2 linked regions of the Oryzias latipes genome follow. The protein of the gene in region 1 purifies or fractionates together with the protein of each later gene. This does not show direct contact. Links are inferred from orthologs where the notes say so. Each region holds a gene or a part of one and is shown on either strand. Other genes may lie near its edges.

Region 1 (4,071 bases):
TTTTCATTTAAGGCACGTACTGCAGTTGCAAAAAGACCAAAAAGTTGAAATGTATCCACAACAATCTAAATTCCTTGGGTGTGAAGCCAGAGCTGCACGACTCATGGTGAATGCCGTTTTGCTTTTAGACAAAAATGAAAAATCAACAGAACATTTTTAACCTGCAAGTAAACGCAACATGGTATCATCCAAAAATGTGTCGGCGTGAACGGATTTTTGCATCGTCGTGAATTGCGTTCAGTACATTATAGTTCATCAGGATTTGATTTTGATCATTTACTCACCAAAATATTGATACACTTGTGCAAGGTAGTACAAAGTATGAGTGTAGGCCAGCTCAAACCTAGTGAGGAGGGAGACACAATTACAAACTATAGTAGGCAAAACATTTAAATACCAAATAAAATAAATTCTGGAGTTTCTACTTCTTGGTTCTTTCCTGATGAGTCAGCTGGTTCTCCTCAGAGCAGAAGTACTCTGTCATGTCTGTAGGGGGACTCCCATTCTGAAAATAGAATCAATAAGGAGGATTTTCCCACTTTGTTTCTGCAGATGGCAGCCCCATGTGACAACTTTAGCAACGTAAACAAATGTGAAAGCCTTTTTATTTGAATAATCCCACAGATATCTAGTATGAAACTGCACTCGGATAACTCTGATTACAAGTTGGATTTCTTAAGAAGGGGTAGAAATGATCTCATTTGAGGAAAAAACTAAATAGATGCTAAGGTGTGGCTAAACCAGGGCTGCTCATTCCTGGTCCTCAACATCTACCACCCTGTTGTTTCCTGCATCAGGTGTCTTCAGTCAATGAGAAGGTGGAAGGGACCTAATAGAGCTAATCAGCAGAAAGCAGGGCTCGGTCTGGAAAACAGACATGGTGGTATATCAGGGCCAAACCATTTCACATTAGAGCCGGGTGCTTGTAAGAGTTGTTCACCTGCGCTGCTGTTGGGTTCCTTTTAAAATGAACAAGCTGCATCGGCCATCTCAAACTTCCTTATGTACTGGAACACAACTTCAACATTGAAAGTGAAACACTTAAGAAAGCTTCCAAAAAAAGATTTAAACAATGTAAACTAGGGTATTCCATTTGCGGCAAAACAATGTATTGAAAACAGTAATCTTGAAATTTTCTATTTCCCTGTCTTAAAAACTCTCTGTGTCGTAGATCTAGATTTTTTAGAGAAAGACATACCGAACAAGCTCCTGCATAAACATCCAATTCATCCCTATCCTGTGTGGTCAAATGGAAATTTTATTCTAAGTTTTCTGAATTAAAAATGGATTACTAATAATCTAAAATTCACATGCACCCACAAAATAATGTGAGTGCATGTGAATGAAGAAGAATAACTTTATTTAAACCTTTTTTAATCATTTTTTCCCCTCTTTTTCATTTGCTTAAATTTACTTGTCAACCCATTATCAGTGTTGATAAAAGCTACCTGATTGTTCATATAAAGCAAAAAAAAAAAAATACCCCACTAATCAATACCTAGCCATATTAGTTAAAGACAAAACAGAGTCCAAGTGTACATTCTGTAACTCTCACTCTGAAACTGTTTTTTGGAAAGACTTTGTTCAAATTAAAGTCTATGAGGATATAACCATAAATTGGGAATATGTTCTGTAAGTAGATAGTAATATATTTTATGTAGTAAATATTACCAGTCTCCAAAATCCAAATTCCTGCATAGTCTCGACTATTTCCAGAAGCTCTCAAAGCTAATGAATGGGCAGCAGTGGCTAAGGCGTTTGAGCAGGTCGTCCAATGATCACAGATATATAAATTATTACTATTATTGTTTATGTTGTAAAATAGAACATCTTACTGGTGGTGCAATCCCCTTGGAATGTTTTTCTTTTTGTTCCAATACATTTTCTGCTTGTTCTTTTTGTAATGTTTATAATGTTGCCATTGAGCCATCCTAGATGGATGAGAATCTCCACAAAAAATAAACTAAAAAGTTTCACATGATATTAAACTGCATTAGGGCAGGTGTACCTCCTTCATGTAAAGTTGGTAGATGGACTCTGCAGTTTCAAGGAAGCCCTGGGACTTCTCCGTCTCATCTCTGCCTGCCCAGAGGATCCCCAGCTGATTCTGTCAACACGAGGAATAAAACACATGATCAGCATCAGGGAGGGAGGGGATCTCCATCAGCTGATCTGCCACAAAGGTCTATGTGTGGTCGAACACCCTGTAGCTGCACTAGTACGGCCATTTTCCCCTAAACACACAAACGCAAGTCATAGCTGTAGCAGATTGTGGTTACGACGCGAATAAGGCCACAAAACATTGCCAGTGTTACCCTGACGTGGATGAACAGCGACACGTTCTCCGATGACACTCTGCATTTGCCCAGATGCTTCATGCAGTTCATCAGATGCTCCTGCCCGGCGGACAACTCTTCTGTGTCCACGTGGTTGACGCCCAAATAATACTCCACAGCTGCGAGCCTGGCTGCTCGAAGCCCCGCGCGCGAGTCGCTGCTCCATCCCCGGCTGAACGCATCCAGATCCACCGGCTTCTCTCCGTCCAGAGGCTCCTCCGTCGGCTCCGGCTCGCTGCTCTCTCCGTCGTCGTGCTCCTCGCCATCTCCTGCTTCAAAGTTCTTCAGCGAGCAGTATATCTCTGTCAGAAGTTCCCTTGCCTTGTATTTGGATCGGAAAGGGTCGTTTTCGGGGTCGTTTCGTGATTCTACGTCGCTGAGCTGTAGGGCGTTGGTGAATTTGGCGCAGACAGCTTTCCACTCGTTACTGCTGAACGACGCCATAATTGTTTTCTTCTGCGGCGGTAGACGCCGTTCGTTTTCATCTGTGCTGCAGGGGCGTTACTGCCATCTGCTGGACAACCCCGGTACTACTTAGAAAAAACTTATTTTAAGTTAAAAAGGAAACTGGATTCTTGAATCTAGAAAAATTGTCCTGCTTTTATCCACAAGAGCCAAAGCATTAGCTTATTAACTTACTAAAATAAACATACGTTAGTTTTAAACAATGTATGTACGTTCCACAGTTTCAGAGAACAAAAGGTATAAGAAAATGATTTTTTGAGACAAAGCTGCAAGATTAAATAAATGCTTAAAAAGAAAAGAAAATAAGTTTAACTGCAGGTGTCAAGTGATGTAACAGTTGAAAAAAAACACATTACTGTGCTTCCATAAAATGCAACTCAGCTCATCTCAACACAAATAAAATTAGTGCATATGCCAAAGATCACACAAACATAATTGGAAAAAAAAGAGATGATCTCACAAATTATATTATTCTATCAAGTTTATTAGAAATTTACAACTGGAACATCAGGGAGGGAAAATGACGTGAGTTCATGTGAATGACACAACTAGGAGATGTTTTTTGTGTTTAATCCACACTGACAAACACAGCCTGTTTCATCTATTTTTAAATGACAGTCATATAGACAGGCATGATTTTCAAGTCAAATAAATATGCTATAATTATAACTAAAGAGCATCAGAATTTATTTGGTTTTAAGCTAAGATAATTTTCTAAAATAATCATATTTTTGAAGAATATTTTGCAATTTATGCAGCTAGAATGGCCTGGTATACTGGACATATTTCATGCTCTAAAGAATTTGGAGGCAATGACCTATAGAAATACAAGTAACATTACATTTTTCGTCAGGTGTGTTTGATGTCAAGCTAACAATTTTACAATTCAGTGTACATTCCTCACATACATTTTGTGTTGTTTTATGCAAATAATTTAAAATATAAATCACAACTGCTGACCTGTTTTTGGAGGAAAAAAAGTCATTAACTAATCTTGAAAAGAATGGATTGAAAATCTGCAAAAGTGCAACAGTTGTTTCACTGATTGAATTAATGTTTGATGAATGAGTATGGATGTTTAGAAGGCTCCTGAAGCAGCACTTAGAAGTCATTATCCATCATCCACCCTTTTCTGCTATGAAGATCCAGTCTTCTTCTCCATGCTGAATCAACAGAAAAACGGGGATTTCAGTTAAGTCGAATCCAATCAATTTAGCTACTACTGAAAATGGCAAAATAAAGAAGCATTCTTCAAACAAACACATTTGTA
Region 2 (4,315 bases), on another chromosome or scaffold:
AGATCTAGAGCTCTTGTCATTCATGCCTGTAGCTGCTGTAGCTCTTTGCTTGTTACCCAACTCCAACCAGCCCTAAAAAAGATTCCAGCAGATTGTAAATTAGTCTCAATGACAACTTGAACTTAATAGCAAAAACTAGTCACAGCCTACCTTGATGTCACCAAAAGAGCTCACCACATTCCTGAGGAGGAAATATTCAAATGAGCAATTCCACAAACGTAGTGCTTCTATTAGTCTCTTTTGACTGTAAAAAGTGATTTTGCAGGAACAGAAAAATGATTTTCTTACGCGGAGAGATCAGCAACATAAGGGCCGTGAACTGGATGCTCCCTCACCCGGAGCTATGAAGTCCAATAAAGAAAGATTCATTTTTAGTTTTTTTTTTCTTGTCTAAGTTTAGATTTTTATTGTAAATGTGATTTATTGTTTCCTCCTAGCCAGGACTCCCTTAAAAAAAGGGTTTCTTAACCTCAATAGGACATTTTCTGGGTAAATAAACGTTAAATGGAAAAACAAATAAATAAATAACAGGCTAAATTCATTTATCAGAAAAGAAAGGGCATAAGAAACGTCAACAGTTTTTTGTCAGTTCTACTAAATGCTAAATTATATGTTAACAGAAAACATGCAATCATTCTTTGAAATAATGTGTAGATGGAAGAAAAGCAGAGTTGCATTTTTAGTATTTCAGTCGCACTACTCACAGGCATCCTCCTCTGAGTCGGTTCATCCCTGGTCACCAACAGGTCATGGATTTTTTCATTATATACTTCAAAGTAACTCATCTCTACATGATATTTCACCTTCAAGAATAACAAACAAAAAAAGTGAAAACTCTGCATGTAGGAAGTGAACCAATCAGGAGAAGTCAAAGTCTTTCTGGTTCAAGTGTTTTCTAGGAAAACGATGCAAACCTAAACAAAACTCAAGACAGAGATGTTTCCAATGACTTTGCATAATATGACATAATTACCTCTACATTTTCCAAGGACGCCAATTTAGAAAAAAGGTCTTGACAAAATCGAGGTGTAACTCCGGCCTCCCCCTCAAAGCCCATCATGCTGTAAAAAAAAAACAAAAAAAAACACAAAGTTTGGCATTGCGGGCTGGAAGAAAAAACAGGGCGATTTTACAGTGCGAGTGGGGCAAAACGTACGTATATGATTTGCCAGAACCAGTCTGACCGTAGGCAAAAAGGCAGGTGTTAAATCCTTCAAAGGCCCTGAGGAGCAGAGGTTTAGCCAGAGTTTCATACACCGTCTGTTGGCTGGCAAACGCAGGATTGCTGTCGTCCACTGAGCAGAAAGAGAAGTCGTATGTGAAAGAAAAGCTCTGTTTGGAGTGAGGATGCTGGACAAGAGTATCCTGGCCACTTGTGAAGATGACCTGCAATGCCTTCTCGGCCTTCTCCCTACAAACCAGAGCAGAAACGGTTAGACATTGCAACTTAAATGTTTAACGTATAGCATGCAACCCTTGAATGTATGGTTTTGAGGGTAAAGATTGCATCACAAACCTGGGACTGAAGGGGCGGATCCGCACGGCCACAGTGACAGCACTGTTTTCCATCTTGAAGGATTCCTGCTGTCTGACAGCCTCACTGGGATGCGTTAACTGCTCGGTGGCAGCGGTGGATGTTCTCCTCACATCCCCTTTTCTTTCTGAGATGGAGGTCTTTTTCTCCTGAGCCACAGAGCAGCTTTTCAGATGACCTCCTGAGATCTTGCAGACCCGAGGATCTGGCTTGGTGAACTCTGCTTGTTGTTGTGCTCTCGGTTTGGGCATTTCCAAGCTTGCAGATTTGACAGCCACAACCTTTGGAACTTCTTTACACGCTAGCCTTTCAAACACGTCTCTTTTGGCAGCAATTTTTGAAAATGGAGTCTTTCTGTTGGGAGTTTTAAAGATCTGAGACTGGTCTTCAGATGCAGTAGAGGTAAAAGAGGTCTTACTCCGCACAGAGCTCAGACTGGACGTTTCTGCCAACTTGTTGCTCTTAGAATCAGTTTCTTTCAAGCTGGTAGACCTGAATAGAACAGGAGTCCTCCCGTTTGAGTCGCTGAGAGCTTTAGGTGTTGGCTGCCGGACGCTGACCCTGGTTTTATCCATCGAGGGCGTTCTGGTCCTGCGTTGCAGAGTTAGCCTCTTCTCCGGAGCTGGAGTGCTGCTGTTCTTGCTGCTTTCTAGCATGGTTTTCTCTGCCGTCTCAGCCCTGCTTTTTCTCCTTGACCTCCTCTGCAAAGTCAGTCTCCCTCGGTTGGGGGTCAGCTGGCTGCTACCACTTTTTGACAGCGCATGGGTTACATAGTATCTGGTCGCCTGACGGTTCTTTTCAGACGACTTCCTCCTGTCTGCGCACACCGATTCTGAGCTGGAGTTCTCGCTTAGAGACAGGTCTGTTGCCTGTTGCTCACCCTGACCCTGCCTCTCTCTTCCCAAACTAGTCCTGGGTGTTGACGCCGACAGCAGGTGGTCATAATAAGCCGTGTGCTTCCTCGTCTGTACGCTAAACAACGACATTGTGCTCAGGAACAAAATAAAAATAATCAAACGCTCACCTTATTTAGCTTGCTAACGGTCATTCTGTTTTCCTGTATACACGAAAGTTTCCATCTAAATCTCCCTAAAAAAGTTACTCCAAAACGTATCTGGACTTAAGTTTTTTTTAAAAAGTGGGTATAATATATCCCGAATACAACGTTAGCTAAAACGACCGCTTTTGTTTACTATTGTTCCAACCTCGCTTGCTTCCGCCTTTGCCCGCTTCAATTTCAAATGGGTTACATCCTTCGTCGTTGATTGGTTGAATTCTGGAACGTCATCACGCCCATTGGTTACGTTTAACAATTGCAGCATAAAAACGAACGCTAGATGGCAGCACAAATAACATCTTTTTTCAGGATTCAACACTGACAAATCGTTGTTTTTTATGTTTATATATAGAAAGAGAGAGAGAGAGATGGATTTAACTATGGAACTGTATAGTTAACATAATAAAACATTTAAATGTATAACAAAACATGACCTAAGACTTGTTGAAAAACAGTGTCCTATTTCTTTTTTTTTTTTTACCCCAAATGATTTTTGACATTGAATCATTTTATTATTTCAAAAACAACAAAAAACAACTGAAATGTAAATAATAAATAAACAACCTAAATGCAGGATTGACTTGAATCAACTATTTCTTGCTACGATGGTGTTTCTTTATGATGTCAAGGAGGTTGTTCTTGGTGACCAGGGTATCCTCAGGTCCCAGTGTGGATTTTTGTCTTTCCCTCCTTTGCTGCTCATGGAGGTAAGGTGAGTTTAAAAGCTGAGGAGGCAAAATGGATCCAGTGGGTTTGACTCGGTTCACCACTCCCAAGAACAGCCTTTTGTTGTTGTTGTTGAGAAAGGTGATAGCTGTTCCCCTGTGTCCAAGCCTCCCTGCTCGACCAACCTGGATGAAAGAAAATAGAGATGTGGCAAAATCAGCTAAAAGATAACACATACATAGAAAAAAGTACAATAGAAATTAACTAAGTAACCAAATTCCAAACCCAAGTACCATTATATGTGTAAAGGATGAGGATATGTGATCAATCAGGTGTCCATTATCTGACGTGGAGGTGTAAACCAGTTGCTTCCATGAAGGCCTATGTTTTTGATAATGGACACCTTATTGGAAATTATTCTGCTTATACCATGGTCACTTCCGAAAGAAAGAATTTTAAATAAATTATTAGCTGATTTTTATCATTATTAGTACGTTTTTTCCAAGAAGCTGACTATTCGATTTGTGGTCTGACGCGTTGTCATGGTACGTATGAGGACTAACCAGCGAAGGTAAATGGTTTTTATGATAAACGCCAACGTTAAGTGTGACAAAGCATAACTTCAGAAGGAAAGTTCACCTCTTATTACTTGTTTTTGCCCAGATGATGAAGCAAAATTTAGTTTTGAACAAACAAAGTTCACAAGTTGGTTCCTAGATCACTTTTATGGCAGGAAATATCCACCATTAACTCTGATCATTAAACGTGTATCAACAAACAAACATTTTCTTTCATTAATTAATAATAAAATTATTTATAAACGCATATTCAGTCTGTATACATCAAAGCAATAAGGCAAGCAAGACAAAAAGATGGGCATAAACCACGTAAAAATATAGCAGATTCAAGCCATTTGACTGGAACTTCTTCTTTAGGTCTCCATTATCACTTTCTAGGGGACACCCTGCAGCCAATCAGAATCGAGTATTCACCCTGACCATGGTATAAGTCATTTGTCTTGGGTTATTGAGTATTGTAAATATTGCAAAGTTGCTATT

What was found.
Region 2: the proteins of kif1bp (region 1) and kif14 purify together in Homo sapiens (affinity purification with mass spectrometry; 3 studies listed by BioGRID and IntAct, counting the BioPlex papers as one, with this or other methods). This does not show direct contact. The link is inferred for Oryzias latipes from reciprocal best matches to the Homo sapiens genes KIFBP and KIF14.

Annotation. Positions count from the first base shown.
Region 1 is NC_019861.2:24,154,623-24,158,693, reverse strand, and holds the start of kif1bp (KIF1-binding protein), read right to left. Parts: upstream 2,807-4,071; 5' UTR 2,781-2,806; coding exon 2,316-2,780; intron 2,108-2,315; coding exon 2,009-2,107; intron 506-2,008; coding exon 426-505; intron 344-425; coding exon 285-343; intron 1-284. Other genes in the region: mpc1 (mitochondrial pyruvate carrier 1), read right to left, coding at 3,937-3,964. UniProt on the Homo sapiens protein: Activator of KIF1B plus-end-directed microtubule motor activity. Required for organization of axonal microtubules, and axonal outgrowth and maintenance during peripheral and central nervous system development.
Region 2 is NC_019862.2:11,250,166-11,254,480, reverse strand, and holds the start of kif14 (kinesin-like protein KIF14), read right to left. Parts: upstream 2,840-4,315; 5' UTR 2,521-2,839; coding exon 1,517-2,520; intron 1,412-1,516; coding exon 1,157-1,411; intron 1,062-1,156; coding exon 974-1,061; intron 804-973; coding exon 705-803; intron 342-704; coding exon 289-341; intron 182-288; coding exon 151-181; intron 73-150; coding exon 1-72. Other genes in the region: probable ATP-dependent RNA helicase DDX59, read right to left, coding at 3,182-3,442. UniProt on the Homo sapiens protein: Microtubule motor protein that binds to microtubules with high affinity through each tubulin heterodimer and has an ATPase activity. Plays a role in many processes like cell division, cytokinesis and also in cell proliferation and apoptosis.